4 linked regions of the Cricetulus griseus genome follow. The protein of the gene in region 3 purifies or fractionates together with the protein of the main gene of each other region. This does not show direct contact. Links are inferred from orthologs where the notes say so. Each region holds a gene or a part of one and is shown on either strand. Other genes may lie near its edges.

What was found.
Region 1: the proteins of ras association domain-containing protein 1 (region 3) and Sav1 purify together in Homo sapiens (affinity purification with western blotting; 3 studies listed by BioGRID, with this or other methods). This does not show direct contact. The link is inferred for Cricetulus griseus from reciprocal best matches to the Homo sapiens genes RASSF1 and SAV1.
Region 2: the proteins of ras association domain-containing protein 1 (region 3) and Map1b purify together in Homo sapiens (affinity purification with mass spectrometry; 3 studies listed by BioGRID and IntAct, counting the BioPlex papers as one, with this or other methods). This does not show direct contact. The link is inferred for Cricetulus griseus from reciprocal best matches to the Homo sapiens genes RASSF1 and MAP1B.
Region 4: the proteins of ras association domain-containing protein 1 (region 3) and Map1s purify together in Homo sapiens (affinity purification with mass spectrometry; 4 studies listed by BioGRID and IntAct, counting the BioPlex papers as one, with this or other methods). This does not show direct contact. The link is inferred for Cricetulus griseus from reciprocal best matches to the Homo sapiens genes RASSF1 and MAP1S.

The regions. Positions count from the first base shown.
Region 1 is NC_048598.1:133,399,263-133,406,371, reverse strand, and holds part of Sav1 (protein salvador homolog 1), read right to left. Parts: intron 4,821-7,109; coding exon 4,374-4,820; intron 1-4,373. UniProt on the Homo sapiens protein: Regulator of STK3/MST2 and STK4/MST1 in the Hippo signaling pathway which plays a pivotal role in organ size control and tumor suppression by restricting proliferation and promoting apoptosis.
Region 2 is NC_048595.1:318,290,965-318,298,530, reverse strand, and holds the start of Map1b (microtubule-associated protein 1B), read left to right. Parts: upstream 1-3,388; 5' UTR 3,389-3,539; coding exon 3,540-3,723; intron 3,724-7,566. UniProt on the Homo sapiens protein: Facilitates tyrosination of alpha-tubulin in neuronal microtubules. Phosphorylated MAP1B is required for proper microtubule dynamics and plays a role in the cytoskeletal changes that accompany neuronal differentiation and neurite extension.
Region 3 is NC_048597.1:215,735,870-215,742,978, reverse strand, and holds part of ras association domain-containing protein 1, read right to left. Parts: exon of another isoform or gene 6,731-7,109; coding exon 6,624-6,730; intron 6,524-6,623; exon of another isoform or gene 6,301-6,523; intron 6,147-6,300; exon of another isoform or gene 6,038-6,146; coding exon of another isoform or gene 5,891-6,037; intron 3,429-5,890; coding exon 3,324-3,428; intron 3,119-3,323; coding exon 2,821-3,118; intron 2,701-2,820; coding exon 2,585-2,700; intron 1-2,584. UniProt on the Homo sapiens protein: Potential tumor suppressor. Required for death receptor-dependent apoptosis. Mediates activation of STK3/MST2 and STK4/MST1 during Fas-induced apoptosis by preventing their dephosphorylation.
Region 4 is NW_023276806.1:248,105,205-248,113,070, reverse strand, and holds the start of Map1s (microtubule-associated protein 1S), read left to right. Parts: upstream 1-3,520; 5' UTR 3,521-3,557; coding exon 3,558-3,681; intron 3,682-4,008; exon of another isoform or gene 4,009-4,243; intron 4,244-4,499; exon of another isoform or gene 4,500-5,148; intron 5,149-5,439; coding exon 5,440-5,544; intron 5,545-5,568; exon of another isoform or gene 5,569-6,286; intron 6,287-6,384; coding exon 6,385-6,467; intron 6,468-7,014; exon of another isoform or gene 7,015-7,034; coding exon 7,035-7,175; intron 7,176-7,374; coding exon 7,375-7,866. UniProt on the Homo sapiens protein: Microtubule-associated protein that mediates aggregation of mitochondria resulting in cell death and genomic destruction (MAGD). Plays a role in anchoring the microtubule organizing center to the centrosomes. Binds to DNA. Plays a role in apoptosis.

The sequences.
Region 1 (7,109 bases), on a different chromosome or scaffold from region 3:
AAGGAGAAAAAGGTTTGAGAAAGTTATTTTACCAAAGCCCACTGTATAAGATCAAATAATGAACATTACTAACCATATCATTTTAGCAACAAAAGATCAATTATAACTCTTCAAACAAAACCAAGCAAGCAAGCCATCAATTTTAAATTAATCAATAAGAAAATAAAAGAACTTCAGTTTCTGAGCTACAACTTTAAAAACTCAGTTTTCCAAAATTTAAATTAGTCCCAGAAAATAGTAACTGGCATTTATTCATAAATGAATAGTTTCTGTTTGTATGGCTGTAACTGTACAAAAATGCTCCATTAAATATAAAGTAAGCATTCACAAGCTAAGGACAGAATATTCCAAGAAGGTTTGAAAGACCCCCGGAAGCTCAGGCCTCCAGGATCTGGCCCAGTACCAAGGTCACCCCAATCACCAGGTGGAGTCGAAAGCTTGATGCAAACTGCTCGAGGCTTTATTATAGTTGTTTAATGAGCTAACCCCATGTTAGCTCAGGTCTTTCATCCACCCACCATGGAGGCTAGCCAGGAAAGACGGCTCGAGGCGTCTGCATAGAGATCTTATAGGGCAGCGTAAGGGGAGTGTCTAGGGGTATGCACAGGCTCAGGATTGGTGTGCCTCCAGGCTTGGAGGGCTTGCCCTGTGTTGATTGGTCAACTGGCTGTTATGGCCCATAGGCCCTCCCAGGGTGGTTGCTACGCTCTGCACGTCATTGCTGTGCACTTGTCCGAAAAGCACACCCAGAGCAGTAAAGCATAGCACCACCTGCTAACTTCTGATTGGTTCCTTGCCATGAGGCAGGCATCTGACCTCCTAGTGACCAAGGCAAGGTCATGGCGAGCACGTGTTACTGTCATGGCTGCCGAAATGGGGAACTGGTCCCTTCAGGTTCAACTAGTATTTCATCTTTACCAAACTTCACTGGGAATGCCTCAAAAGACCTTAACAACTAGGAAGCTGCCTGAGCCCTATATGTGTAAATAACACTTAAAAATTCTCGTTTCCAAATCCAGCAGTATTTGTCTTTACTAAAGACAGTAAAGTGGGTTCTGGAACCATGAGTTCCACAAGGACCACAGTAACAGATAACAAATGCTACATGTGTATTAATTAGGATGTTGGTAAAGGGCTTTACGTATTGAACTAAGACAACTGCTACTTCTCTTGCTCGGCAAAAACAAAACAGTATCAGCTTCCACAAGATGATTCTAGTTAACTAAATGCTTGTACATTTACTGGAATAAATACATTCAGTACTTTTTAAATAAAGTCTGATACTTTCAGTTTAATTTTTAAAATTTTTATTTCTTAGTGATCTTTAAAACTTTAAAAGTTTAGGACCAACTAATCAATTCAGCTGGACTGGTCAGCCAGCAAGCTTCAGAGATCAACTGGTCTGAGGGTAAAAGTACTCAGCACTAGTCCCTGAGTTTGATTCCCAGGACCCACAAGGTGGAAGGAGAGAACCAATTCCTGCAAGTTGTCCTTTAACCTCCACACACGCCCACGCACCTATGTGCACACGCAGGAACACATTGTACTGGCTAGTTTCATGTAAACACAGGCTAGAATCAGAGGGAGCCTCAGTTGAGAAAATGTCTCCGTAAGATCAGGCTGTAGGCAGGCCTGAAGGGCATTTTCTCAATTAGTGATTGATGGGGGAGAACCTAGTCCAATTTGGGTGGTACCATCCCAGGGCTGGTGGTCCTGGGTTCTATAAGAAAGCAGGCTGAGCAAGCCATGGGGAGCAAGCCAGTAAGCAGCACCCATCCAATGCCTCTATAGCAGCTCCTCCCACCAGGTTTCTGCCCTTTCTGTTCTCACTTCCTTTGACAATAATATGAAATTGTAAGCCAAATAAACCTTTTCCTCCCCAAGTTGCTTTGGCCATGGTGTTAGCATCCAGACACACGTTGGCCCCACCCCTTGGTCACTTGTCAGAATGCATCACCCCTTTCGAGCATGGCAGGCAATACCCTGTCTCTATATGCAGGTGCAAAAGGTCCCTTTAAGAGACAAGCTCCGCCCACTCCCGCTCTCTCCCACAGTTCCTCTGAAGAGGCAGGCAGGTCTTTGCCCCTCTCTCTCTCACTCACTCTCCCCTGTCTCCCTTTCCTTCCCCCAATAAAACTTCCCACATAAGTTCTGTCTGCATGCTCTGTTTGTCCCTCACCTGCCATGGGATCTGCCAAGGTCCCCCTCTCGATGCCAACAGTAACCCAAACTAAGACAAATGTAATTTTTAAAAGTTAGCCTCTCCGTGGTGGCACACATCTTTAATCCCAGCACTGAGGTGGCAGAGGCTGGCGGATCTCTGTGAGTTTGAGTCCAGCCTGATCTACAGGGGACAGCCAGAGCTACACACAGAAAAACTCTGTCTACAGAAAGAAAAACCCTGTATCCAAACAAACAAAAAAAAAAGGCAAATGTTTTTGTTTTTAAACAGAAGAGACTCAGAATGGAAGTCTACTGACATTAAAAGCAGATGTTGGTTATAACCTAAAATCTTTTTTTTTTTTTTTCTCAATACAGGATTCTCTGTGTAGCCCTGGCTATCCTGGAACTACTCTGTAGACCAGCCTGGCCTCGAACTCATAAAGATCCGCCTGCCTCTGCCTCCTGAATGCTGGGATTAAAGGTGTGTGACACCATCGCCCAGCAGGGGTCCTAGTTCTATGAATCTGGATGTGTCCCATTTTCCCCTTGTCCCTCCAAATGTCTGAAGCAGGTACCTCATTAATTTGCTTTAAAATACTAATCACTGGGGGCTGGAGAAATGGCTCAGAGGTTAATAGTACTTGCTGTCTTGCAGAAGACTTGGGTTCTGATCCCAGGTCCCATATGGCAGCTTACAACTGCCGATAACTCCACTTCCAGGGGATCTAATGCTCTTTTAGATCTTGATGGCAGAGAACATATACTCCATCGCTTGCATGCCTAGTGCCTATAGAGGCCAGAAGAGGGTATCAAATCCCCTCAAACTGGAGTTAGAGGACTGTGAGCTAGGAAATGAACTTGGTCCTCTGGAAGAGTAGCCAGTGCTCTTAACCACTGACCCTTCCCTCCAAGCATTTAATCTTGAAATGGGCAATGGTTTCTTTGTTTCAAGTCTCAGCCTTCTGTTGGACCATGAGTCTCCATTTCACCTTACATCACATTTCTTAAAATAGGTAGGAACATAGTCTCCTAAATGTAAACCACACCTACTCTGTTTGCAGTGGGTATCCCCAATTTTCTACCTAAAATGTCTTTCTCCTACCATGTTAATGCCAAGTCCAAGCTCAAAGACTAATTCAAATTCTATCTGCTCCTTGGAGCATGCATTCCTCTAACCAACACTCATCTTTCTTCTGACTCCCTCTAACAGTTAGTACTACAAAGTATAACCATAAGGTATTTTAGGACTATTGTGTGTATGCTGGTTTTGTCTCTCTAAATATAAGGTATCCCAAGGGGACTGCTAGACACATAATGAATATTAAATTAAGATAAGTTTCCTATTGCTAAAACATTTGTATTCCAAATTGTTAAGTCAGTCAGTTTAGTATAAGTTGTGTCTGATTAAAGAAAAAACAAAAAAACAAAAAAACACCAATCATCCTCATCTTTATCCTGCCAGATTTAAAGCCTACAATTTACTAAGTGGGAAAAGTTTTCTTCTTAGCATGCATCAGTTCATCTACAGTAATGAGCAGAAGACTTGGGTTCTGACCCCAGGTCCCATATGGCAGCTTTAGGAATCAAGTGGAGGTACCACATTCCATAAGCCCCTTCTTGGAGGAGTACCTCCAGGTCAGAAGAAAAAAGTGCAGCTCTCTTCATTAACATAATGTTTCCCACCTGTTACAAAAAAAAAGGCAGGTTTCACACATAATTAACCAACCTGAGAAATAATAATTGACTACAAAAAGTAAGGTTTGGAAAAACAGTGCTAGATCACTCAGGGTGCAATGGCCCACACTTTGTATACCTAGCAGTCAATTCCTCCTCTCTTTTCCTTTCTTAGGTTTAAGACAAATTTGCTAACACACTTACCTTTCTCATTCTATCCAATCTGAATCTAATTTCAATCTAACTAGAGACATTAAATTTTTCACATTTTCAAGCCCCAAAGTGTTAACAGTCAATATGGTCTTGAGATAAACATCAAGTTTAGTATGACAGCACAGTAAACAGACCCAAGAGTTCTGTCATTCATTGTAGGTTAAAAACTACTAGTAAGCAGGCAGAAGCAAGAATGGCAAAATGGAAATTCTTTTTCTCTAGGAATTCTTTTTCTTTTTTCTTTCCAAGAAAACCCACAGAAGATCACCTTTTAAATCAAAATGTAAGTATAAACCAATGTGCTATTTATTATGTCAAGTTACCTGAAGTGTGCCTCCCCTGATTCTGTGGCATTCTTTGGAAGAGATCATGGTTGTATTCATAATATCTGTAGTCTTCTTGTACACGATCTCCAAGTGGCCTCCTCCTCTGACCATCAAAAAAGTTATCTGAATAAAAGTATCGGGAACCAGAGTCTCCATTTTCAACAGCAAAATTAACTTCTGTTAAAAATGACTGTGATGAGCCATACTCTCGAGGAACATCTGCTAGGCTCCTGACAAGGTAAGAAGAAGGTGCAGACAGTCTATTGCTTTCTCTTCTCATTACTTCGTGAGGCGTCCTTTGAATTGGAGTTCTCAGAAAACTCTGGTTTCTAGAAACTACTCCATCTCCAGAAGCTGAGAAAGCATTAGAGCTTGAGTCTGGAAGACAGATATCAGTCCGTCTTGGAATTGTTGGACCATGGCGAATAAATGAAGGCATAAGATCTATAATCAAACAGAATAAGATCACCATTTCAATAAGTACACTCTTCTAAAGCTATATATGTTAACAAAGGGCTCCAGAAAACAAAAATTTAATTTTAATACTAGTACTTTAATTTCCCAAGCAAATAAATTTATAATCTGTATTACTGTGCTATGTATAAGCTCAGCAACACCTGAATTGATGCTGTATATTGTCATAGAAAATACAATACAATGTCAGTGAGACTGAAAATAGTCTAATAAATCAATGCAGTCAACAGCATCATGCAGCACAGCAGTTAGGTTTTCACTTGATTTTAGTATTGCCAAGAATCTTTGTTCATGGGTCCCTAACTTCGTCCCAAAGTCAGCAGGGAGTAGCATGGGAAAGAATTCGCTGCCCATTTTCCCTGGTTAAAATGCTAAGTCAGAAGGAACTCCCTTGCATGGGGATGCCAATATCTCTCACTCCCTGATGGGGACGCTAGGGAGACAGCAATTCCATGATTGAAATTTCCAAAAAAGAAAGTGGGGGAATGCAGGGACCAGCTCCCCATTTCAGCAGCCATGACAGTAACTCGTGCTCGCCATGACCTTGTCCTAGTCACTAGAAGTCAGATGCCTGTCTCGTGGGAAGGAACCAATCAGAAGTTAGCTGGTGGTGCTATGCTTTACTGCTCTGGGTGTGCTTATGGGACAAGTGCACAGCAATGACGTGCAGAGCATAGCAACCACCCTGGGAAGGCCTATGGGCCATAACAACCAATTGACCAATCAACACAGGGCAAGCCCTCCAAGCCTGAAGGCACACCAATCCTAGGCCTGTGCATACCCCTAAACACTCCCCATACACTGCCCTACAAGATCTCTCTGCAGCCCCTTCTAGCTGTCTTTGCTAGCCATCCGCCATGACAGGTGGGTGAAAGACCTGAGCTAACATGGGGTTAGCTCTTTAAACAACAATAAAGCCTCATGCAGTCTGCATCAAAAAAAAAAAAAAGAATCTTTGTTCATTCCAACACAATTTCATTACAATAAAGAAAAATGCTACTCCAAAACATGCAAAGGCAAATTTCTTTTAAAAGATTTTTAAATTAACAGTTTTGTCTTTCTACTCTCAGAATTACCCAGTTCTAGGTACAATGTTCAAAATTAGAAAGCAAAAGTGTGCGGTGTGGAAATTGAAAAATAATCTAATCCCAAAGATGCACACAAATGTTGAATCTACTGAAAAATGATAAGCCTGGAATTATAATTATGGCTCCTTTAAGAACAGATAACTCAAAGCAAGACAATGGATTACAGAAAACAATGTGTGAACAGCTTAGATTTTCTTAGCTAGAAGACTGGAGAGATGGCTCAGCGGTTAAGATTTTCTAAGCTAGAAAGCGAATACCTTTAAAACATGAAGAAATCTGGATATTTAGCACATTTTCTGAATTCATTAAGTAAATGATACTGAGACGTGTCAGAAGTTAACACTAGAACATCTTAATTTTGGAATAATTAAGTTGATGACAGAAACTGTATCGAGTTATTCACTGAAAGATTGAACTCAACATGTTGCATGGTTTCAAGTAATGTTTAATAAATTTTATTTGCAGCAAAAAGTAAGCTATCACCTAAAAACAGAAAAAAAAAGTTTCAAGTTACTGGCATACCCACCCGACCAACTTTGTCGTCAAGCCCTACAATTATTAACATAACTTGTAAGGCTCGACACACATGGTTACAATGAAAAAAATAAATGCTCTCCACCCCTTTCTGCGTGATCTTGGGCAAATACTAGGAACCTCCGTGAACAGCTTTCCCAAATACAATATGAGGTAATGCTTAATTTAAGTCACACGGTTACTACCAGCTTCCAAGAAGGAAGCGCAAATTACACAAGGGGCCCAGCTCCTAGAAATGAGACCCAGAGGAACCCTCTCTTAGAACTATTCCGAATACACACGAATTGAAAGAAAGAGAGAGAGAGAGAGAGAGAGAGAGAGAGAGAGAGAGAGAGAGAGAGAGAGAGAGAGAAATCAAGGCGTTCAAGTTTAAAAACTCACAGTCGACTATTTTTAAATGGAGAAGAAAAGCTACGGGAGGAGACGGAACATACCCTAGAAAGAGGAGGGAGAAAGTAACTTGCCTGCTATATAGGCAGGGATTATTCTGAGTAGTTTGCTTTTTCGGAATTTTAGGAGCAAAACCTAATCCGAATACTTTGGTGGCTTCTTTGCTCTGAGACAGGAGGCGGCTCTGGGTAGCGGCTACAAGTCCGTGTCCCGCCGCAGGGCTAAGGAGTCCAGTCTACGGTGTGTG
Region 2 (7,566 bases), on a different chromosome or scaffold from region 3:
GGGTTGTGATAATGGAGAGAAGTAGATGGCTATGGAGGCATCTGGAAGGTGAAGGTGAAACTGACCAGATTCCATTGCAGTTAAGTAAGGTTCAGGGGAGAGTCCAAGATCTCTGTGAGGTTTCCAGCTTACATAGTGGGGTAGATGGTGCCCATGTTCAATGGAACAGGAGATGTGCTCACTCAGCTCTAGAGGGTAAAGATGACTTGTGTCTGGAGCATGCCCAGTGTACAGTGCCTTTGGGACACTTGGGTGGGGTCACTGACTAGCTGGCCATATAGGCAGGCTCCCTTAGATGTTAGTTTTCTTTTTCTTTAGAATTGTGTCCTTTTTCTAGGGGCCGGGGACTTTTCTAGTTTAGAAAAGTGGCTGAATATGTTGTTTTTTATTTTTGTTTTTCTCTCAGAGGTATTGTTGAAGGAGTCACCTGTACACCTTGTAAAGCCACTTTTACTCCATTGTCTAAGGAAATGGGGGTGGGGATGGCATTTATTCACCAGAACTTGATTTCTTACTGTGCTCCACCCACTGGATTAAGAGCCCCTGAAGTCTCTTTCATCACACAGTCACAAAGTCCTGATTCTTCCCGCTTTTGCAACAAAGGGACTGAACATAAAAAGAAGAGCCAAATTACTTGTTTGAAGTCACAGGGGTATAAAGTAGCAGTCCCCATTGCTAGTCTGTGTTCTGCCATCATGTCTCCAGTTTGCACAGCAAGGGTGAAAACTGGAGTGGTTTATGGTCATGGTTTCGTTGTACAGACCACCACAGTGAAGCAGCCCTTTGGTTGCACTTTTCCCTTTTAATTGATTGCTTGATTAATGTGTGTGGAGGTCAGAGGACAATTTTTGGTAGTCTGTTCTCTCCTTCCACTTGTGGGTCCTGGGGACTGAACTTCCTAGGTTCCCAGGCTTGGCAGCAAGCACCTTTACCCACTGAGTCATCTCATTGGCCTCCTGTTGTCCTTACATCCAATATTCCATTGCAACATATGGAACAATTCAGTTAGTGCTAGTATATTTCAACACTTTCTGATTTTGTCTAAGATAGTACATACCTCAGGCTCAAAATTGAGCAAATAGGAACAATTTATAGCAGAAGTTTAACAGTATCTTATTTTCATTCTGGATATTTTGAGGACTACCTCCTATTTATTTGTGATAGTAGTGTTTCTATGTACACAGAAACATAGACATTTTCCCCAAATAAATTTAAGTAAAATAAATGAGGTAAAAGAGCACTGATATCAACTTGATTATTAATTTGATTGGGTTGAGAGACACCTAGGCTATTAGTAAAGCACACCTTAGGGTGTGTCTGTTGGGGTGTTTCTAGAGGATTAGCTAACAGGATAAGAACTACCTTGGATGTGGTTAGCACCACTCCCTAGACTGGACACAGATGGAAGAAATGGGGAGAAGCAATGTGTCTGCTTCCTGGCTGCAAGGAGGTGAGCAGCCCTCTTCCATTACACACTCCTCCCACCACGCCGTTCTGTCCTACCTCAGGACAAAAGAAAAGGAAGGAACAGACCATGGCTGGAAACAGGAATCTGTGAGCAGAAACAAATCTTCCTACACCAGTCTCTCACAGGAATTTGTGACAAAGAGTACCATAAACACTCCCCCACACATAGGAGTAATGGTGGTTCTGAGAAATGGAAGAAACTCACCTGATGAAGCCATTCTGATGTTGTTCCCCTCCTCACCCTCACCATGGACCACCCCACTGCCCTAACCTAAGTAGCTGCCTGTCTTCACCAAACATCAGGCAGCTTCCCACTTAAATAGTTTCTTTTCACTGGTGGCCAAATCTCCGCAGCAAGCTTGTTGCAGACCCCTAATGCCATATGTCAGGTAACTTGAGTCTCCATTGACCAGACTAGCATAGTCTTTGGCAGCCCACTGGATAGCCTTTCCAGGCTTCAAGAAAGAAATAGGGCAAAAGACATGTAACTAGTAAGTCATGACAGAGAATACTTAAAGACACTGGGTTGTTTTGAGAAATCTTTCAATAGGTGTTTTGTTTTGTTTTGAGATAGGGTCTTATGTATCCCAGACTGGTTTTGAACTCATCAGAAGCCGAGGATGACCTTGAACTTTTTTGATCCTCCTTGCCTGAACAGCCTGAGTGCTTAGACTACACTGCCCAATGATAAGGATGCTGGAATGGGCCTGCTTTCTACAAGCTGAGCTACAGCCCCTCCAGTTAGCATTTTAAAACTAGTATATACTCTAATAATAAGTGTATTGACTACACCTATTTCCATCTAACTTGCTTCCCTAAAACTCTAATCCCCAGTTTGTATAATAATGCAGTGTTTGCCCTTCCCTCCTGTCCTAAGACAGAAATATATTCATTAGATTTGTGAAAAGTGGATGTATATGGTGGCCTTTAGAAACATTATTATGAGTTCTTCTAAATATAGACAAAGGGAATAAAAACTCCCAAAGCTATGTGTATCTTAAAAGACATCATTGTCACACAAAATAATTCTGCCTGTGTATCCCCAAGGAACTGAAAAGCACATTATAGTCACTGTAACCCTGCTGGGCAGAGACAGTATCTTCTCTATTCTTTGTTATGCCTGATGCTATCTGTTCAGCATATTAATAAAAAAAGAAATCTGTATCTAACATAATATGTCTGCCTCCTCTCGTTCATTTCCCATGAGCACCAAAGGACAGTTCTTTTCCAGACTAGACTCCAAAGCCTGAACGTATTAGGTTTAGGGCTTGCAAAGTATCCTTTAAGGTGGTAAATATTCCTGTTGTTTGAAACAAACAAACAAAAATGACAAGTACACCATTCTAAATCTACAAGGTCAAAAAGGCAGATTCCAGTCTTCTTGAGTGGGGTACCCTAACCCAGGGCCCACTGTGATTGCTGCAGCTATGCAAATCCCAACTTCACGGTGAATGGGACACAGGAAGAGGCCTGATGTGCATTCGGGACTCAGGACATAATCCCACTCTGAAACAGGAAGTCATCCCCTCTCCGGTACAGGAGAGTTGATGGTTTGGGGCAAGGAAGGCGTGTGTAAGGAAGGGTGGTGGTGCGGCCCGCCTCGGGGCTACAGCAGAGTTTTTTGGGTCCCCCAGAGCCTGGCTCCCGGCCCTGCCCAGACTATTGTCCACACACCTCGTCCCTCCAGCTTCCGGGCCGCCGGCGAAATGATTTGCTGCAGATGACATCAGCCCTGGGCCAAGGGCTACAGGAGTGGAGGCAGCTACCACGAGGATGTGCCGGGTGGTCCTTTCCTCCTCCTCCTCTTCCTCCACCTCCTCCTCCTCCTCCTCCTCCCAGGCTCCTAGCCTAGTCTCCATATAAACGGCACCGCCTCCCCGGCCTCTCACTCCCCACTCCTCTCTTCCGCGCCGGGAGAGGGCGGAGGAGGAGGCGACGCGCGCGCCGGGAGGAGGGGGGACGCAGGGGGCGGAGCGGAGACAGCACCTTCGGAGATAATCTTTTCTCCTGCCGCAGAGCAGAGGAGCGGCGGGAGAGGAACACTTCGCCCAGGCTTTAGCAGCGCCCGCAGGATGGCGACCGTGGTGGTGGAAGCCACCGAGCCGGAGCCATCGGGCAGCATCGCCAACCCGGCGGCGTCCACCTCGCCCAGCCTGTCGCACCGCTTCCTAGACAGCAAGTTCTACTTGCTGGTGGTGGTCGGCGAAACCGTGACCGAAGAGCACCTGAGGCGTGCCATCGGCAACATCGAGCTGGGTAAGCAGTCCCGCGGCCCCCCAGGGACGTGCGTAGGTAGATGCGCCAGAAGGACCCCACCCAGGGCGCGACCGCCACCTTGTTCTCCCGCGCGCCCCGCACCCACGCCTCTCCAGGCCACATCCCACACTCCATCTGGACTCTTTTCTGAGCTCATTTCCAAATATTCTATTTGAGACCCAAAGAGAGAATCTTTAATAGCCCGAGGGATGGATCACCTGGCTGGGTCTGTGGCCGCCCCCGACTTGGCCACCTCCTCTCGTGGTCAGTGAAATGCAGGTGTCAGAGGAGCGGAGGCCATAATAAAACCACAACCGCAGAAAGGGTGGGGTGGACCTAGCATAACCTCTCTTTTCAGCTTCCCTCTCGCCCTAGGCAAAGGCTGAGACCCTCCTCCCCTTACCCGAAAACCTGGGGTCCAAATACCATGTGCCAAGGCCCTCATGGAAATCGTCCTTATCATAGCCACCCTGTGCAACCCGCCCTTGACACCACACACACACACACACACACACACACACACACACACACACACTGAGAATGGAGAATGCCCATTCTGACTTTAAACTTCCAGATCCTTTCTTTCCTGGGAATGACTAGGCTAGTCCTAGTGCCACGCCCGCCCCACCCCACCCCCACCCCCCAGGACACAGGCATGGAACCCGTCTGCATTCGGTTCCCAGACGAAGTCCGGCCTCGTCCTGCCCCTGAGGTCCTGGCTTCAGCTTTCAGAAAGGACAATGGGACTCCAGGGTGTGGGGTGGGCTTTTTTGAAAAGTCTCAGCTTCAGGAACCATAGCTTGAATGGGAAGAGGGGGTGGCGGGGTAGGGCCAGCTCCTGGGCTGCTGCGCGCACCGGGAGCGGGCTCTGCAGAGGAGGAATAGCGGTTCCCGGGGAACCCTGGGCGGGGCTGGGAGGGCCCGGGAGGGCCCGGGAGGACGGAGTCTCGGGCGGGCACGATCGGCCCCGCCCTTCATTCAGCCCCACCCTTGATTCAGCCCCACCCGGCCTGCCGCAGTGCCCGCACTGGGCAGTCGCACCTGCCCCCGCACTGCGGCGCCCCCGGCTGGCCCGGAGCTCACTCTGCCCGAGCTGCGCGCGGTCGGGGGGCCTTGCGCCCACCTTTGGCTGTGAGCCGCTTTGTTGCGCTCCCAGCCCCTCGGTGGGCAGCTCTGGCCTCTGCCTTATTCCGCCCTCCTCCCCATCCTTCCCTTCACTTCATCCCTGGCAGAGGTCGCTGGGTCCCCGAACAGCGCAGCCTGAGCGCTCTATTCTCTCGGGGTGGTGCTGAAACGTTTCTGCCAGGAGACACCGGCTGGTGGGCGTGGTGCAGTCCGCACTGCGGTCTCTACGGCAGCCCGAGGCGGACAAAGGGCGTTCACGCAGCCCTCCTTTCCCGCTCCCACTCACGCCAATAAAAGATGGATGAAATGATTTTGGTTTAGATGAATAAATAAATAAACAAAAGCTTGTTACCTGCCTCTGCATTTGGAAATGGCCACTTGTCCCCAGAACAAAAGGCTGCAGGGTGGGGACTGGAGTTGCAGACCCGGTTCTTTTGTTTAACTTTAAAGCACGGATTTTCCCTTTCAGCTAAAAAGAAAACAACAACAACAACAACAATAACAACAACAACAAAAGTGAGCAGAAAGCCAGTCATGATTTTTCATTCGGAAAAAAAAAAACAAGAATAAGATTTCAGAAGTGGAATGCTTTATCTGAACGTCTCAGTAATCCATTTTCAGGCTATAAGCCTTTGATCTGCTTCTCAAACTGGGTTTATTTGCACATTTTATTCCTTGGAAAATCACACGTACTGACTTTGGGTGTGGCTATTGTGGGAATTAATGACTGGGTGTTTTAAAATTATTTTCTTTATGTAACATTGCTGGGAAATAACATATTAAGAAGTGTCTGTTCATCTCCAGAATTTTCAGGATCACCTATTGTGGTGCCAAGAGAGGAATCATCACGCCCATTTTTAGAGATTGGGTACGCAGAGAGGCAGGAAGGGTGAGGGACAGACTCAAGGTCATATTGTGAAGCAGTGACAGGAGGACCGGTACTGCAGTGTCACTACTTGCTTGGCCGGGTCAGATGGTAGTGCAGGCAGGCTAACGTCAGAGGAAGATTCAGCAGGCGGTTTTCAGACCTTGTCTTTGTACAGTCATCCACTTGTGGGCAGCGCTCAGTGCAGGGAGGTGGCTCGGCCATCACCTTCTGACTACAGTTATTTTCCTGCTTTGTTACTGGCCTGATCGTCCTTTGCTGGGGTTTATTCAAGCCTCTTTCTGTCAGAGGAGAAAATATGCTGCCAAGGAATTCTGTGATGTTGGTCCTAGCTTTATTTTGTTTTACACTGCCAGCATTTAGTACTAAGATCCAGATTTGTCTTTCTAACAAAAAATAGTTTCAATTTAAAAAAAAAGCACAAACCATAGGCTAGCAGTTCACTGAATTTTCACAAAGTGAGCATACCTGTCTTGTCCAGATAAGAAACAGCCATAGTCATCCCAGGAGCCACCCCGCCCACCAACCCCAATGTTCACTTTGCAATCAGCATGCTTTTTTGATTTTTAATTCCCTAATTTGGTCAGATTTTTCCATAGATCTCTGAAATGGTTATATCGATCTCATTAAGAATCAACCAAGTGTGTGAGCACAGCCCTTTCCCCCAGGGTAGTAACAGATGTTGCTGATCCTCTGGAGAGTGCTCTCCTGGGTCCAGGGGTCTCCTATGCAGCTCACATTGCCCTGCCTTTCAAGGAGAAGTGAAAATCCTGCTTCCCAGGATTTTCAGACAGTGGGAGATGACTTAGCAACAGGGAGGCAGGCTCTGTTTCTTGGCATGACACACTGCTGCTTTAGAGGGCAGATTGCAGCTGGGCCTCCTCCAGAGGTCACTCTGATGCCACTGCTATTGTTGCTGGTGCCTGCAGGCTACATTATGTGAAGCAAGATGGAGCTGCTCCAGGGGGCTCAGCTCTGATTGTGAGCTGCCTGCAGGCTGGGAAAACAGCTTCTCATCTGTTAGCTTTCTTATTTCCCCTTCCTTTCCCATCCAAACTCAAGCACTGTGCAGTTAGAGACCCTGGAGACTGGTATATTTGCCATCTGATTGATTACCCAGGGCACTCTGAAAAATAGTCTCGACTCCTGCAGAGGGATGGTAAATAATGTAGTAAAAACAATTGGCCTGAAACACCCCAGTATGGATGCTAAGAGCTTCTTGAGCCCAGGGAAGAAAAATGGTTGCTCTTACTTGCTCAGTTGTGTTCGAAAAGCACAAAGTCAAAAAGAGTTGATCATTTCTTTCCCCAGAGCTTCAAACAATAGTGTTTCCTTACACTGGTCCAGCTACACTGATGTAGTTATATAGGACTTGATTCCACCATAGTGACTACCACCAACTGACTCATTTGTCCCTCCTCAATTAGCCCCAATGTGGCGTTAGCTTAATTTATTTTTAGAAAAATGCTGTCATTTGGTATATTTCAATACATAGGCTCTACACAACAATAACCTGACAAACTGAATTTTAAAGCCTGGTGCAATGTGTTTTCATTGTTTCATGCCATTCTTTTTAAAGAAACTAAGCCATCTACATGTTAGCTTGAGGCTTTCAATTACTATTATAAGGCAACTATCCCTCTAGGTGACACTGGGAATGAACAAGATGTGCTCCTGAGAAAATAGATAACTGTAATATCCACTGCCTTGGATCTTTAGATGTGAGTTGAGCTGGTTACAATCTAACAGTCTGATGTTGCTTTACCCATTATGCTTCTGTCCAAGATGGCAGGCCAGGAAATTAAAAGCCTGGGAAAGCTTCGGGATTTAAT
Region 3 (7,109 bases):
AGCATGTATGTATGCACATCTTGTGTTTGCCTGGTGCCACATAGAGATCAGAAAAGGGCATTAGATCCCTTGGGACTGGAGTTACAGATGGTTGTGAGATGCCATCTGGGTGAAGATGCCATGCTCTTCACTAAGCCAACTCTTTAGCCCCTTTTTGTTGTTCTTTGAGTTACAGTCTTGCCACATATCGAAGGCTGGCCCTGAACTTGTTATGTAGCCCAGGTTAGTCTCAAATCTGTGATTCTCCTGTCTGTTTGCTGAATGCTGCTATTGCAAGTATTTATCAGTATGCTAGGCTGACATTAGGCTCTTGGCTAAATAGTCTGTGCTAGGATCTTCATGAGAAGTCTGCATAAAAGACAGATCTTATAAAAAAAAGTTATCTCATAGACACAGGGGGCTGGAGAGATGGCTCAGGGGTTAAGAGCATTGCCCCTTCTCCCAGCAACCACATGGTGGCTCTCAACCATTTGTACTGTAGTCTGGTGCCCTCTTCTGGACTGCAGGGATACATGCAGGCAGAACACTGTATACATAACAAATAAATCTTTAAAAAAAAAAAAAAATTGGCATGTTCTCAAATACCTGTTGTCTCCCCCTGCCACAATACAATGGGCTATGAACCAAACCCAGAGTCTCATAAATGTAAACAAGCTACATTTTTCTTTACTTCAAGCTACCTTCTCAGGCAGCCCACTAGTCATCCCGATTTTTTTCTTTTGCTGCTGAGCTTTACGCATATTAAGCATATATTCTTACCACTGGGCCACACACTGAGCCCTATGTGAGAAGCCTTTTTTATAACATTACTGGGAGTTGAATTGTGCTGGCTAGTTTTAGGTCAACTTGACACAAGCGAGTATTACCTGAAAGGAGGAAACCTTGAGAAAAATGCCTCTATAATATCCAGCTGTAAGACATTTTCTTTATTAGTAATTGATGGGGGAGGGCTCAGCCCATGGTGGGTGGGGCCATTCCTGGGCTAGCGGTCATGGATTCTATAAGAAAGCAGGCTGAGCAAGCCAGGGGGAGCAAGCCAGTGAGCAGCACCCTTTATGGACTCTGCATCAGATCCTGCCCTGTGTGAGCTCCTGTCCTGACTTCTTCCAATGACGGGCTATGATGTGGAAGTGTACAAATAAACCCTTTTGCTTTTGGCCATGGTGTTTCATCATAGCAATAGGAATCCTAAGACATGAACCAAAGGCATGTAACATGCTAAGCACATGAACCACCGAACTATGGCCCAAATCCTTTTACTTTTTGAGAGAGCATCTCACTAAGTTAACCCAGACTGGCCTTTAGGTTACTTTATATCCCCAGGAAGACGTTGAACTTGTGATTCTTCTGCTTCAGAAGCCCAAGTAGTTGAGATTACAGGCCAGTGTCACTAGGCCTTGCTAGGAAGAATGTTTTTTGTTGTTGTTTCTTTTTTGATATAGGACCTTGCTATGTAGCTTAGCCTGGCCTCCGGCCATGGTGCTCAGTTCACTCAAAGAGTGCAAACTTGTAAGGATCATCTACTATCATGAACTTGCGCAGCAGGGCCTCAATGACCTCACGTGCCTAGCTGGTAAAAAGTCTTAACACTTGAAAGTAGGCCTTCCTGTTTCCTGGTTATACCTGTGAAGCTTTTTTCTTTAAGATTTGTTTTTAGGGGCTGGAGAGATGGTTCAGTGGGTAAGAGCACCGGTTGCTCTTGCTAGGACCTGGGTTCAATTCCCACCAACTATATGTTGGCTTTCAATCATCTTAGCTCCAGTTTCAGGGAAGCCAACATCTTCTGACTTCTGTGGACATGTGTACAAACATATATATGCCTGTGAGCATATATGTGCACTGTGTGCATGGTCTAGAATTACGGGCATCAGTAACCCTCTATGTGGATGCTAAGAACCTAATCTGGGTCCTCTGTGTGAGCAGTAAGTGCTTTTAACCACTGAACCATCTTTCCAGCCCCATTGTTTTAATTTTATAGGTGTGTGTCTGTGTGGGTTATGCACACATAAGTACAGCTACCCTCTGAAGCCAGAAGAAGAAGTCAAATCCTTTGGAACTGGAGTTGTAGGTGAAAGTGGTCTACCTAACATGGGTGCTTCAAACAGAATTTGGGTTCTCTGGAAAAGCAGGAAGTACTCTTAACTCTTAACTGCCAAGCCATCTCTAAGCCCACACCTGTGTAGATTTGAACTTGTGTTGGCTCACCATGAGTCAGTCAAATCCCTCAATCTTTGGAGCAATTTCCACACCAAGAAACAACAAAGTGCTAGGAAAATTCTTCTTCGCTTGCTTTTGTGGCCCAGACTGACCCCAAACTCCTAGCAAGCCTCAAGTCTCAGCATTCCAAGCCCCACAATGACAAGTATGAACCACTAGATTCAGTTTCTTCCTAGTTTCTTGGGATAGGCTCTAGACTTTGGCTTGAGTGTCCTGGAAACCCATACTTTAATTTCGGGGACCTGTATATTCTTACAGAGGTTGTGCAGGCTTGTTCTCCAGCCCAGTTTCTCCTGAAACCCTCATTGTAGCTACATACTACCAGCTTTGTCTAGTGATAAGAAAATAAGAAAGATTATGTACTCACATTCACCTCCCCAGAGTCATTCTCTTTTAAGACAAAGCTCAGGGCCTTCTCACTAGGCCCTGCAAGAAGCCGTAGCTTCAAGGGCTGCTCATCATCTGACAGTTTCCGGAAGTACACTGGAGGTCAGGCAGGGGGAAAGGATAAAGAATTAGAAACAGGCTCAGGTGCCCCAGCCCCTGAATGCACAGGTATGGGATATATACCTTACACAGGGAGAGCTGGGATAGGAAACCTACCTTGGCCATGACGCTCTGTTCGCTCAAAGAGCGCAAACTTGCGAGGATCATCCACTACCATGAACTTGCGCAGCAGGGCCTCAATGACCTCACGTGCCCGTGTTCGTGACAGAACATGCAAGTGCTTAATAGCATCCTTAGGCAAGTAAAAGGAGGTGCGGCGCCTCACAGCTGTGCTCCGCCCTGGGCCCCGCCGGGCGTCCTGTAAAGAAGGCGGTTTCTTGCTGGAAGGCACTGAGACAGGACGTACCAGTTTCAGCTGAACCTTGATGAAGCCTGTGTAGGAGCCATCCTTGTTCTAAAAAGAGAAAGAAAAACCATACCATGACAGGAAATTCTACTGGAGATGGAAGAGGCTAGGGTTGAGTCCACCTGGGGCTAGGCTAGGTATGCATAGATCACGGCTTGAGCCAACCAAGAAGACTTTGGCTACAACTCTAGCCATCTGGCACAAAGCTGGGTTCTGCTCCTCCCCACACTGCTAGCCTGAGCAGTCAACTCACCAGGCTCATGAAAAGGTTGCTGTTGATTTGGCCATTGTAATCCTTGATCTTCTGCTCAGTCTCAGCCTGAGAAAGGTCAGGTGTCTCCCGCTGTACAGGCTCGTCCTAAAAGACAGGCCAGCATGGATACAGGGTCCTTGAAAAGTGCAAGGCTTAGCTGGGCTCTTGGTGGCGCACGCCTTTAATCCCAGACTCGGGAGGCAGAGGCAGGCGGATCTCTGTTAGTTCGAGGCCAGCCTGGTCTCCAGAGCGAGTGTCAGGATAGGCTCCAAAGCTACACAGAGAAACCCTGTCTTGAAAAACAAAAAAAAAAATACAAAAAAAAAGTGCAAGGCTTTTTTGGTGGAAAAAACAAAAAAGCCAGAACACCCCTTGGATCTTGATTTTGGCCCTGTCACTAAACCCAAACCCCCTGAATTTGTCACTGCTCTCAGTTTTGCATGTTATAGATGAAGACAACAAAGAATCATTTGGCTTTCTGCTGTCTGGGGGGTGGGTCACCTCAGCACTGGTTATGGCCCCTAACAGCATTACAGAAATAAAGACAAATAAAGGCACATGGCAAGGGGCCAGGAAAACATGAAGGACTATTAGGGAGGAATGTTGTTTAAAGTAAAAACACTTCTTGGGGATAAAAGTGACAGAGTACTTGTCTAGCAAGTGAAAGGCCCTTCCATTCCAAGTACTACCCCCACCCAAATAAAATTAAAACCGTATCTCAACTGAGCCCAGAATACCAGTAGGGTCAAAGTTTATTCTGGAGAAGGCAGCCCAAGTCTCCCACTTTGTACCAGCACAGAACTTGAGGCACTGCAGGGAGCGAAGCATGGGAGCTGACACACACCAGGAGTCTAACTACCAGCAGGCAGGAGGGAAAAGGTGATCTCTGTAATACCAACACGGGGCCAGCCCCACCACATCTCACATAGGGGAGAAATCACTGTCACATAGCATTTACCCATGACTCAAGCTTCACCAAAGGCAGCGTCAAGCCAGGTTCTAATCTGCCAGAGATGTGCAGGCAACTTTCTGGCAGAGGCCATCCTATCAGTACCAAGCAGGTAGGATGCTCTTCCCCTTGCTGTCTGGAAACTCAGCCTGAAGCTTTTTTAGCTCTTCAGGAACTGGGTGTTTGCTGGCAGGGTGGAGAGGGTCAGAACAGTCAGGACTCTGAACTGATTTTCTTCAACCAAACTCACTTGGCCTTACTGCCTCAGTCTTCCTGTTGACATCAGAAAGGTCCTGGTACAAACACAGCTGGGATGGCCACTGTCTCAGCTGGGGATCGAACCCACAGCCTCACACAAGCTGGGCAAGTGCTCAATCCCTGAACTATATCCCCAGCCCTTATTTTACCTTATTTCTCAGCTCCCATTTATCTATTAATCTATTTATTTATTTTAGTTCATTAACGATGCTGTGGATGGAAGCCAGGCCATCATGCAAGCTAGATAAGTATCCTCCAACTGAACTTGCTACAAACTTCAGCTGCTTTTTAACAATTCTTCATATACCTTTCAACTGGCTAGTACCTTGTGTTTTTTCCACCTTTCCATAAGAGAAGATGACTCAGGCTGCGTGGCACGGAGACAGTCCCAGGGGCCCACACTGAATCTACAGTCTGGACTAAAGTTTTTTGGGTGTCAAGTAGCAGCCCATCTATAAAAAAATCTGTAGCAAAATCTCACCTACACCACCACCACAGACAACTCCATTTTTTTTTTTTTTTTTGGCTCAAATAAGGAATTCTACTTCGCTGCTGCTAAGTTTACTAACCTTCGGTCTCCACCTCACTCTCCCGATGCCCCAGCCTCTGTGCTCTTTTGAGGTATTCAGGTTCAAGAATAAATTATCTGAGGGTGGTGGTCACAACCACGACAGTCCCAGAAAAGTCTCTGATAATGTGGCACATCTAGGAGACTCTAAGAGAGATTCAGCTGCCCTGGTAGTACACTTTACAGTTAGTCTTCCCGCTCCTAATGCTTAAAGTCCAAGGCAAAGATCATCTATCTGACTATGCACCCCCCCCCAGCAAAGTTAAGGAAGATCGGAAAATTGTCTACATCCCAGCATCTGGTGTCAGAGTTGGCCCAGCAATGGCTGGGGACTTTACTGGCTGATCCAAGACTGAAAATGGAAGGGACAGGGTCCCCTCCCAAACAAACTTCTCACTTCCCGGCGGACTCCTCCTCCACTTCCTTATTTCCCCCAGGGAGGGAGTAGGAGCGCCCAAATGCGAAATCAAGATGCGGGTTTGGGCTGAGGCTGGCTTTAGTCATGGGTGAATAACGCCCGCCTGGGGTCCACCCAAGCTTCGCAGCTGCTTGCCCTGGCTCAACCGGTCTGTGACCGCAAGCCAGGGAAGCCCGGGTACTCAGTTCCAGCGCGCTGGACCCCGGCTTAACCAGGAGCAGAGCCCTACACACATTTCCCGGGGCCGTTTCCGTGTGGCCCCGCCGGGAGGCTCACGGAGAGGCGGGCAGGGGCGGGCGGGGCTCGAGCGGCCGCCCCTCACCCGCCGGCTGGCCGGCCGGCCGCACCCCCCTCCGCCCCGGGGCGGCTCCCACCTGGTCCCGGCGGGGCCTGCGGACCAGCGAGGTCCGCGCCGTGAAGTACTGCTCGAGCTCCGAGTCCGAGTCCTCCTGGCTGCAGTAGCCACTGCTGGTCGTGCTGCTCCAGGTCATTTCGAAGGAAGGCGTCTCAGCCTCACCCATCGCCTTGCCCGCCCGATCCCTGGTCCACTGCGTGCGGAGCCTCCAACCACCGCCCCGGGCGCGCGCGTGCGTGCGTGCGTGCGTGCGTGTGAGCGTGTCTGTACGCGCTTGCGCAGAGGCCTGCAACGCGCGGTGACCGTTAGGGCTAGACAACCAGAATCTGGAGCTGATGGTACGGCGGGGGGGGCGATGGTGGGAGGGGCGAGGGGCGGGGACACAACGCTACACCCCGAGGAATGACCTCATCTCTGAGGCATCTCCACTCGGCCCCGCCTCCCAGAGGGAGGGAAGTGTCTGTGCGCGCGCGCATGTGCACCGCCGTTGCCTCAGGGCCGGAAGCGGGGTGTGAGAAGTGCGCGTGTAGCGTGCCAGGGCGCGACTTCGCGGCCAATGGCTTGTGGGCCGTGGTGTTTGCGTGGAGTCAGCTCCTGACAGACCCACAAGCAGAAGTGGACTCCCTGATGCCGGGAAATCGGTAATTGGGAGGTTCGTTGTGTGCGGCGCCTGGTACCTCCCCTGAGGGAGGGCTGACGAGCCCCAGGTCCCCTCCCCGCCCACACTCCCCCCACCCCGACCCCGAGCTCACCACGTTCGTGTCCCTTTCCAGTGCGGGATCCCAGCCCAGGTCTCGGGGCCCGCAGCAGTCCAGGCAGACGAGCGCACGACAACGGTAATGGCAGGTGAACTTGCAGTCTGCAGAAAGGGCTGACGGTGAGGCGGAGGAGCTTGGCCAAGTGACCCACAGACTGAGGGAGCCTCTGCCCGACAGATTTGGGCTCCACTGGCTTTTTCTCAAACGCGGTTGCCGCCCACTGCTACACAGATGCTGGAAGCACGTTTGGAAACTGCCTGGAAGGCCTCAGGCTGTTACCCTGCTCAACACTTGTGTTTGCCTATCTACCGCAGAGCTACTACTTCACTTTGCCATTAACTTGAAAACAAAAGTGTTTAATTTACGACTTCCTCTATTTGTCATCTGCCTCTTCACTTGTTTACACAAGCCTATTTTGTTTTCTGAGAAAGGGTCTCATGTAGTTCAGGTTAACCTCAAATGGTAACCTTGAAGTCGGGA
Region 4 (7,866 bases), on a different chromosome or scaffold from region 3:
ATCCCAGCACTCGGGAGGCAGAGGCAGGCGGATTTCTGTGAGTTCAAAGCCAGCCTGGTCTCCAGAGCGAGTGTCAGGATAGGCTCCAAAGCTACACAGAGAAACCCTGTCTCGAAAAACAAAAACAAAAACAGAAACAGAATATAGTGGCAATTGCCAGGGTCAATACAGTTATAGTTGCCAGGATACAGTGATGTTTGCAAGTTGTACAGGGTACACAAGATTAATGTCTAAGACCAACTGTCCTGCCCAATGCTTCATTGACTTCTAAGGGAACACACAGAGAAACACAAAAAGCCTGAATGCCTCACTGACCGAGAGAGTGCATCGCTCTCTCAGGAACTGAGAGGACACGATGCCCCAGGAGCCATGGACTTGAACCTGAAACACTGAAGGTGCTGCTTGTGAAGGAAGCTAGGTCAGGCCCACGCCATGAGTTCCCGCAGCTCCCGACTGGTGCAGACTGAGGGGGCGTGGCCTGGGCTCAGCCCGCAATTCCTCCAGAGACCGGCAGGGGCGGCATGATGCCGGTGGGACTCTAGAGCGTTGCGGGACTCTGGTCGCTGTCAGAGTGATAGCAGGGTTGAGCTTGGTGTCCCACATCTGCCAGCCGATGGAGGCGGGAACATTTTAACTTACAGGGGAGCCTGGTCTATGTATGCCTAAAACCCTCTAAGGAGGGGCTGGGGCATGGCTCAGGGGCAGAGTGACAGCCTCGGATCCTTCAGGGAGGGGCTGGGGGCGTGCATCAGGGGGTAGAGTGACAGCCTAAAACCCTCTAAGGAGGGGCTGGGGGCGTGGCCCAGGGGTAGAGTAACAGCCTGGGATCCTGAGCGGAGGGGCTGGGGGTGTGGCTCAGGGATAGAGTGACAGCCTAAAACCCTCTAAGGAGGTGCTGGGGGCGTGGCTCAGGGGTAGAGTGACAGCCTGGGATCCCACAGGGAGGGGCTGGGGGCGTGGCTCAGGGGTGGCTGCCTAGAAACCCCCAGTGAGAAGCTGACACGCGGCTCTGGATCCTGTGGAGGTCCTGTGTGTCCCCAGCAGTGGAGAGGGTTGTCTGATTGAAGTACTTGGGAGTGTTACAGACACAATGTCTGCCCCGAGGGTTCACTGCGTTTCCTCATCACTCGCTTCCCTCCCGCCACCCCGTCCCAGGGTATGAGGCCGCTGACCTAGTAGCTGACTGGATCTAGATGTGGACAGAGGAGAGCGACGTGGCCTGACTTCCGAGTCTAGTATTTGGAACTGACCAGTGATTCATCTTCTCGAGAAGAGCCTTGCACTCCCCACGCCTGGACCCCGAACTGCAGGGACAGAAAAACTCAAGGACACGAGACTTATTTTGAGAGTTTTACAGAACACTCATGCAAAGTTTAATGGGGAACCACTCCAGGCCCTCAGAGACCAGATTATGACATCAGCACTAACTGCAGGTGCTAGGCCCCAGGCCTGCCTTGCCCAAAGCCTGGAGGCTGAGGCAGGAGACCCGACAGTTTGAGGCCCCTGTGGAATACAGAGAGACAGATGGGGAAAAGGAAAACAGAGGGGCCTTAGGCGTCTGGAAGAATGCAAACTTCAGCTCCTGGGTTCATATTCCAAAGGACTGGTGACGGAGGAAAAGACTGAACAAGCAGACAGGCTGTTGGGTCCATTCTGCAAACCTTCACTCAGTGTCCCTTGCACAGGACAGAAACAGAGAGCACGAGGCTGCTGGTCTTCATCAGTTCTCCAGCTCCCTGGTTTTTTTGGTGGGGTCTCCCTGTAGCCTTAAGTGGCTTGAAGTTTTCTATGTAGTGCAGGCTGACCACAAAATCTGCCTACCTCTGCCCCCCATGTGCGGGGATTAAAGGGGAGCCAACATGCCTGTCTCTTAGTTTTGCTTTAAAGATTTCTTAGTATGTACACACACACACACACACACACACACACACACACACACACCCATGAAGGCCAGAAAGGGTCTGTAGATTCCTTGGAGCAGGAGTTCCAGGCAGTTGGGAGCTGCAGTGTGGGTGCTGGGAATGACTTGGGTCTCCTGCAGGAGCATCCAAGAGTTCTTAGCTGCTGAGCCATTTCTTATGTTGGTTTTAAAGGATTACCACAGGCTGCCCTGGTACTCACTCTATACTCCAGATTGACTTTGAACTCCCTATGTAGCCCAGGCTGTCCTTGGGCTTGCTCTATAGCCTGACATGGCCTCAGACTCTCCACAATCCTTCTAGTTCAGTTTTCTGAGATGAGTCTGGGGTGACCAGATGCAACGCCAAACCCAGGTCTGTTTCCATTATAACAGAGGAAAATACAGGTCCCAGCCTTCTCAGGCTGACCAGCCACAGGAGGAGTCAGGACTTGGGAAGGATACAGAGCCAAAAAGACAGGAAATTGGTATCCAGGAACCCTGGATCATGAGGCCACGGCTACATACTGACCAAGGAGGAAGTTGGTGTAGACAGGCCCTGACAGAAAATCAGCAGTGGCTTGGCTCTGCTTCCTAGTCCTTTTCACGTCTGTCCTGATTTGCATTTTGCTTATTTTTTTTTGTTTTGAAATATTCTCTGTGTAGCCTTGGCTGTCCTGGCACTCGCTCTGTAGACCAGGCTGTCCTCGAACTCACAGAGATCCGCCTGCTTCTGCCTCCCGAGTCCTGGGGTTAAAGGGATGAGTCTGCCTTTTTTTACTGTTTCTTTTTGATGCAGGGACTGGCCTCCTATTTGCTAGGTAACTGAGGCTGACTGTGAACTTCTGATCCCCCTGCCTCAGCCCCCTGAGTATACACCAGAGGCCGGGCTCACTCGTGAGGGCGGCCAGCGGGCACTCTCGGTCTGAACAGTTAACATGGGGTGGCCATCAAAGATAGAAGTGAGGCTGTTCCAGCCGGTTTGGATGGGAGTGGCACAAGCAGTGCCCATCAGGCTATATATAGTCCAAGTGGAACCAAAGCTTTTTGTAGTGTTGACTGCCTGCCGTCCCAGCATGTGGGAAGAGTGGAGGCCGGAGGATCATTAGTTCGATGAAGGCCGAGAGGCGGACTTAGTTGGAGTCAAATGGGCGCTAACACTAACAGGCCTGCTGATTTGACAGCTCCAAAATGTCCTTTCTCCTAAAATGACAGGAAGTGTCCTCTTGACTTAAATACCTCCCCATACTGTAACGTGTGTCACCACACCCAGACGCAGACACTCACACAGCAAACTCCTACACACCCCTCCAAGCCCTACCTGTCGGGATCCTAATTTAGGGAGCTGTTAGTTCGTATCAGAGTCTGGTTCTGTGTGGAGCCGCTGTTACAGGCTGACTTTACGGGACAGAACTTGTAAGAGTGTCCCTGCATGGGCGACTGGGCGAATGGGTGAATGAATGGATGGAATTTTGGCGGTGTTATCAGCCCCTCAGAACAGTGCTGTCTCAGCTCTCTACCGGCTCCCGAGGCTTCCAGGGCGCTGATGGGTGGGCAGGAGGGGGCGCTTCCGCCCGGGGTCTCCGGCGCTTCCGCTACGCCCCACGAAGGGGCGTGGCCAAACGGGGGCGGGGCGCCCGGGCGTCGGGGCAGCGCGAAGATGGCGGCGGTGATGGCGGCGCCCGAGGCTGTGGCGGCGCCGAGCTCGCTGCTGCTGCTGGTGGTGGGCGGCGAGTGCGGCTGCCCAGGGCTGCTGGCCTACGTCCTGGAGGAGCTGGAACGAGGTGGGGCTCGCGGGGGCCGGAGGGCCGGGCGGCGGGGCGTGCGGGTGGGGCCGGGGGGTTCCGGCGCGCTGCGGGCCGGGGTCCGGGCGGGGCGCGGCGTCCCGGGACGCCACGTTCCGGGCGCGGCCTGGGGTCCGGGGGCGCCGGGGCCCGCGCGCGCCTGACGGCCGCCTGGGCACATCCCGGCGGCGCGGCCACTGGGTCCGCGTGGGGCGCGGCGGGGGGGGGGCCGGATTCCGGGGGACAGGGTTCCGGGGGCGACGCGGGGCACGGGTGGGCGCCGTCTCCCCGGCCCCGGGGTTCCGGCGGGGTGTGGCTTCCTCTTGTGGCCCCGCCCCTGGCCAGGCTCGCACGTTCCCTGGCGCCCCGGGGCCTGCTTTTCCCGATGCTAATTGGCGCGTGGGTGGCGCGGCCGCCCTGGGGGCGCTTGGCACCGGGGAGCTGACTCAGGCGCACCTGTCACACCGGGGCGCCGGGAGGGGCAGCACCGCTCGCAACGGGGCAGCGAGTTCCAGGATGGCCTGGGCCACAAGACAACTTTCTTGAAAACAAGGAAGGTTCGGTAGGTAGGGGCGATGCTTGGCATGATGCAGACCCAGCTTAATCCCCAGCGTCCCTCGCTGCTCATCTCATAAATTCTGAGATGGAGGCAGGATAAGGGGTTTGTCCTCAGCTGGAGGCATCTTAGGGAATTTGCGCCCATCCTGGACTATGTGAAATACTGTCTCAAAAAACCAAACCCTGCGGGGCGTTGGTGGTGCACGCCTTTGATCCCAGCACTCAGGAGGCAAAGGCAGGTGGATCTCTGTGAGTTCCAGGGCAGCCTGGTCTACAGAGTGAGTCCCAGGACAGCCAGGGTTACACAGAGAAACCCTGTCTCAAAAACCAAAAACAAATAAAAAAAACCAAAACAAAACCCCAAATCCCCAGAAGAACATAGGATGCCCATCTGAATGCATGGTCTGAAGACTGTCTCTGACTGTGACAGCTCAACACAGGCAGGGCTTGGATTACAACCCCCTATGTCAGCCCTCAACTTGTGGGTCTCCACACCTTTGGGGAGTCGATTGACCCCTTCACAGAGATTGCATATCAGGTATTTACAAATCATAACACTACCAAAATTACAGTTGTGAAGTAGCAACAAATAATTTTATGGTTGGGGTCACCACAAAAAGGGTGACAGCATCAGGAAGGTTGAGAACCATTGGCTTAGAGGAACCTGTCTTAGAGTCTGAAGAGAGGTATCACAGCCCAGGGGAGCTCACAGCACTGGGAGTCTGAGTCAGCTGCCCCAGTGGCTGAGATGGCTGAGGAACAAGGTGCTCAGAAGCTGAGACTCCCATCAAAGCTGGGCTTGGCAGTATGTACCTGTAATCCCAGCTCCGGAGAGGCTGCTCACTGCCTCACCAGGTGATGACCTGAAGATTCAGTGAGGGACACTGTCCCAGACATAAGATGCAGAAGGTGAGGATCACACACACACACTTTCTCTCTCTCTCTCTCTCTCTCTCTCTCTCTCTCTCTCTCTCTCTCTCTCTCTCTCCCTCCCTCTCTCCCTCCCTCCCTCCCTCTAAGTTCAGGATCCTGGCAGGAAAGCAGGAGACCTAGGACAGATGGCCAGCCAGGCTTCCAGTCAGTGAAAGGCTGAGGCCTGCCTGAGTCCCTTGGGTCTGCCTGCCCAGGAACCAAGCTGTGGGGCCAGGACAGCCAGACAGGAGGGTGCTGGAGCTGAGGTCTGTCTCCTGCTGCCTGCAGGTCTTCGCTCATGGGAGGATGTGGACCCCACCATCTGCAGCCTGGATGAGCAGCTCAAGGCTTTTGTGTCCCGGCACTCGGCCACCTTCTCCAGCATTGTGAAAGGTGACCTGTCCCAGGATCCCTACTGCTCATTCACTGGATGCCAAGCTGCTGAGTGACAGCTGTATGCTGGGCATGGCTTGGGGCACCACCAAAGGCCCCTGCTACCCCTAACCTGGACATGCTGCCTCAGCTTTGGGTCAGGAAGAGCAGGGCCTATGCATGAAAAGGATACAGGGAGGACTCTAGGGAGGGGCCCTTGGGGAGAACCTACAGGGTGGTCTCAGTCAATAGGGAAGCAGAGATGGGGTACAGGAAAAGCTCCCCAGGGGATCCCAGGGTGGCCAGAGCAGCCGGTGGCTGCTTTGTGGGTATTTCTTGTAGCTCATCTCCTGGCCAGTGGATTGAGTCATCACCTGCAGCTGCTGGAGGGGAAGGAAGTGACCATCTAATTGTCCCTTTGAGTCACTGTGGCTTCCTGATCCCTGGAGAAAGAGCTGGAAATGCCATATGCTGTGTGACCTCCTGTGTACCACAGCCCCTCTGATAAGGCCCTCTGGGTAGTGACATAGCTCCAGCTGAGTCTGCTGGAGCTCTACAAGCAGCCTCACAGGGGTGGGACTGAAGTTGCTGTTTGCCCTTGGGAGCCTCCTGGCACCTCCTGGCTTAAGTGCTGAGCTGGAGCTTGTGCGAGGGTGGCCATCCTGGCACCAGTGCTGCTATCTTGGTTGTCTCTACTTGAGGCCCAGGCACCCCTCGCTTCCCATTTGCCCTCATCTTTGCTTACAGGATGTAGCACCCTGGTGTGAGTTCTGGGCTTGCATGCTTGAGGGTCCCTTGGTGGTGGCAGGATTTGCTATCAGGCCCCTGACTCTCTGTCATCCTGAACCTGTCATCCCTCAGGTCAGCGGAGCCTGCACCACCGTGGAGAGACCCTGGAGACGCTGGTCCTGCTGAACCCTTCAGACAAATCCCTGTGCGATGAGGTAGGAGCCGGTGACCTGGGATGTGTGTTGTCCTGTCCTCACACACGCCCCAGAAGATGTGCTTGATCCTTCCTGCCTCAACTTCCTGTCTCTAGTGGGGGTGGGACAGGAAGGCAGGAGCCACAGGGTACACCCAGCAGGCTGACCTGGGAGCTCTCCCTGGTGCCTAGGAGCCTTGGCTTTGGCTAGTCAGTCTGCACTTGTTATATACATCAGCAGACGTCAGACTGCTCTGGGGTTCTCCCTGCTGGCCACAGTTGATCCTTTCAACGTTTGTTTTGTTCTGTGTTTTTTGGGGATGCTGCTGCAGGCCTCACTTTTCCCACAGAAGCAGGATTAAGAGGTGATGGGTAACCTGTGCTTTCATAGAGAATCTTGCCTTAAAAAAAAAAAAAAAAAAAAAAAGCTAGGTGTGTCTGCCTGAAGCAGTCTCCTGCTAGAGTAGCCAGAGTACTGCTAGGCAGGTGATGTCAGCTGGTGCAGGAAGGGGGGCTGCAGGGAAGGGACTGTTGTGCCCACAGTGGGCCAGGCTCTGCTTCCCCTGCAGCCTCTCAGTTCCTCCCACAGCTCCGGAACCTCCTGATGGACCCTGCCCCTCATAAAGTGCTGGTGCTGGCAGGACCCTGCCTGGAGGAGACTGGGGAGCTGCTGCTGCAGACCGGGGGGTTCTCAGCGCAGCACTTCCTGCAGGTGCTGGGGGACAAAGAGGTGAGCTCTTCCCCTTCGCACTGCTCTGGGGTGGGGAAAAGGGCCCCCAAACTGCTCACCCAGACAGTGCTGTGAGAGGGAAGGTACAAAGAATGGGGCCATGGGCCAGGAGGGCCTGGGGATCGTAGTGGCAGGTTGGCGATTAGGAGGAGTGGTGCCCAAGTCCTTGGATCCAGGTGGCCCTGTGCTGGTCCTACAGGTCCAGGATGCTCTGGCCTCGGCACCCATTGCCCCACCGGCCCTCACCCTGTCCTGTCCGACCTTTGGGGACTGGATGCTGCTGGGCCCCACGCCTGGACTGCGGCTGCGCCTGAACCCACCCGCGCGGCTGCCAGCCTCCGAGGGCCTGCGCGCCTTTCTGGAGTATGTGGCTGAGTCGCTGGAGCCGCCATCGCCCTTCGAGCTGCTGGAGCCGCCGGCCGCAGGGGGCTTCCTGCGCCTGGCGCGGCCCTGCTGCTATGTGTTCCCTGGTGGCCTGGGCGACGCCGCCTTCTTCGCAGTCAATGGCTTCACTGTGCTGGTGAATGGCGGTTCCAACCCCAAGTCGAGCTTCTGGAAGCTGGTGCGCCACCTGGACCGCGTGGACGCAGTGCTAGTGACCCACGCAGGCGCAGACAGCCTGCCTGGCCTCAATAGCCTGCTGCGCCGCAAGCTGGCAGAACGTGAGGCTGCTGCAGGGCCACAGGGACAA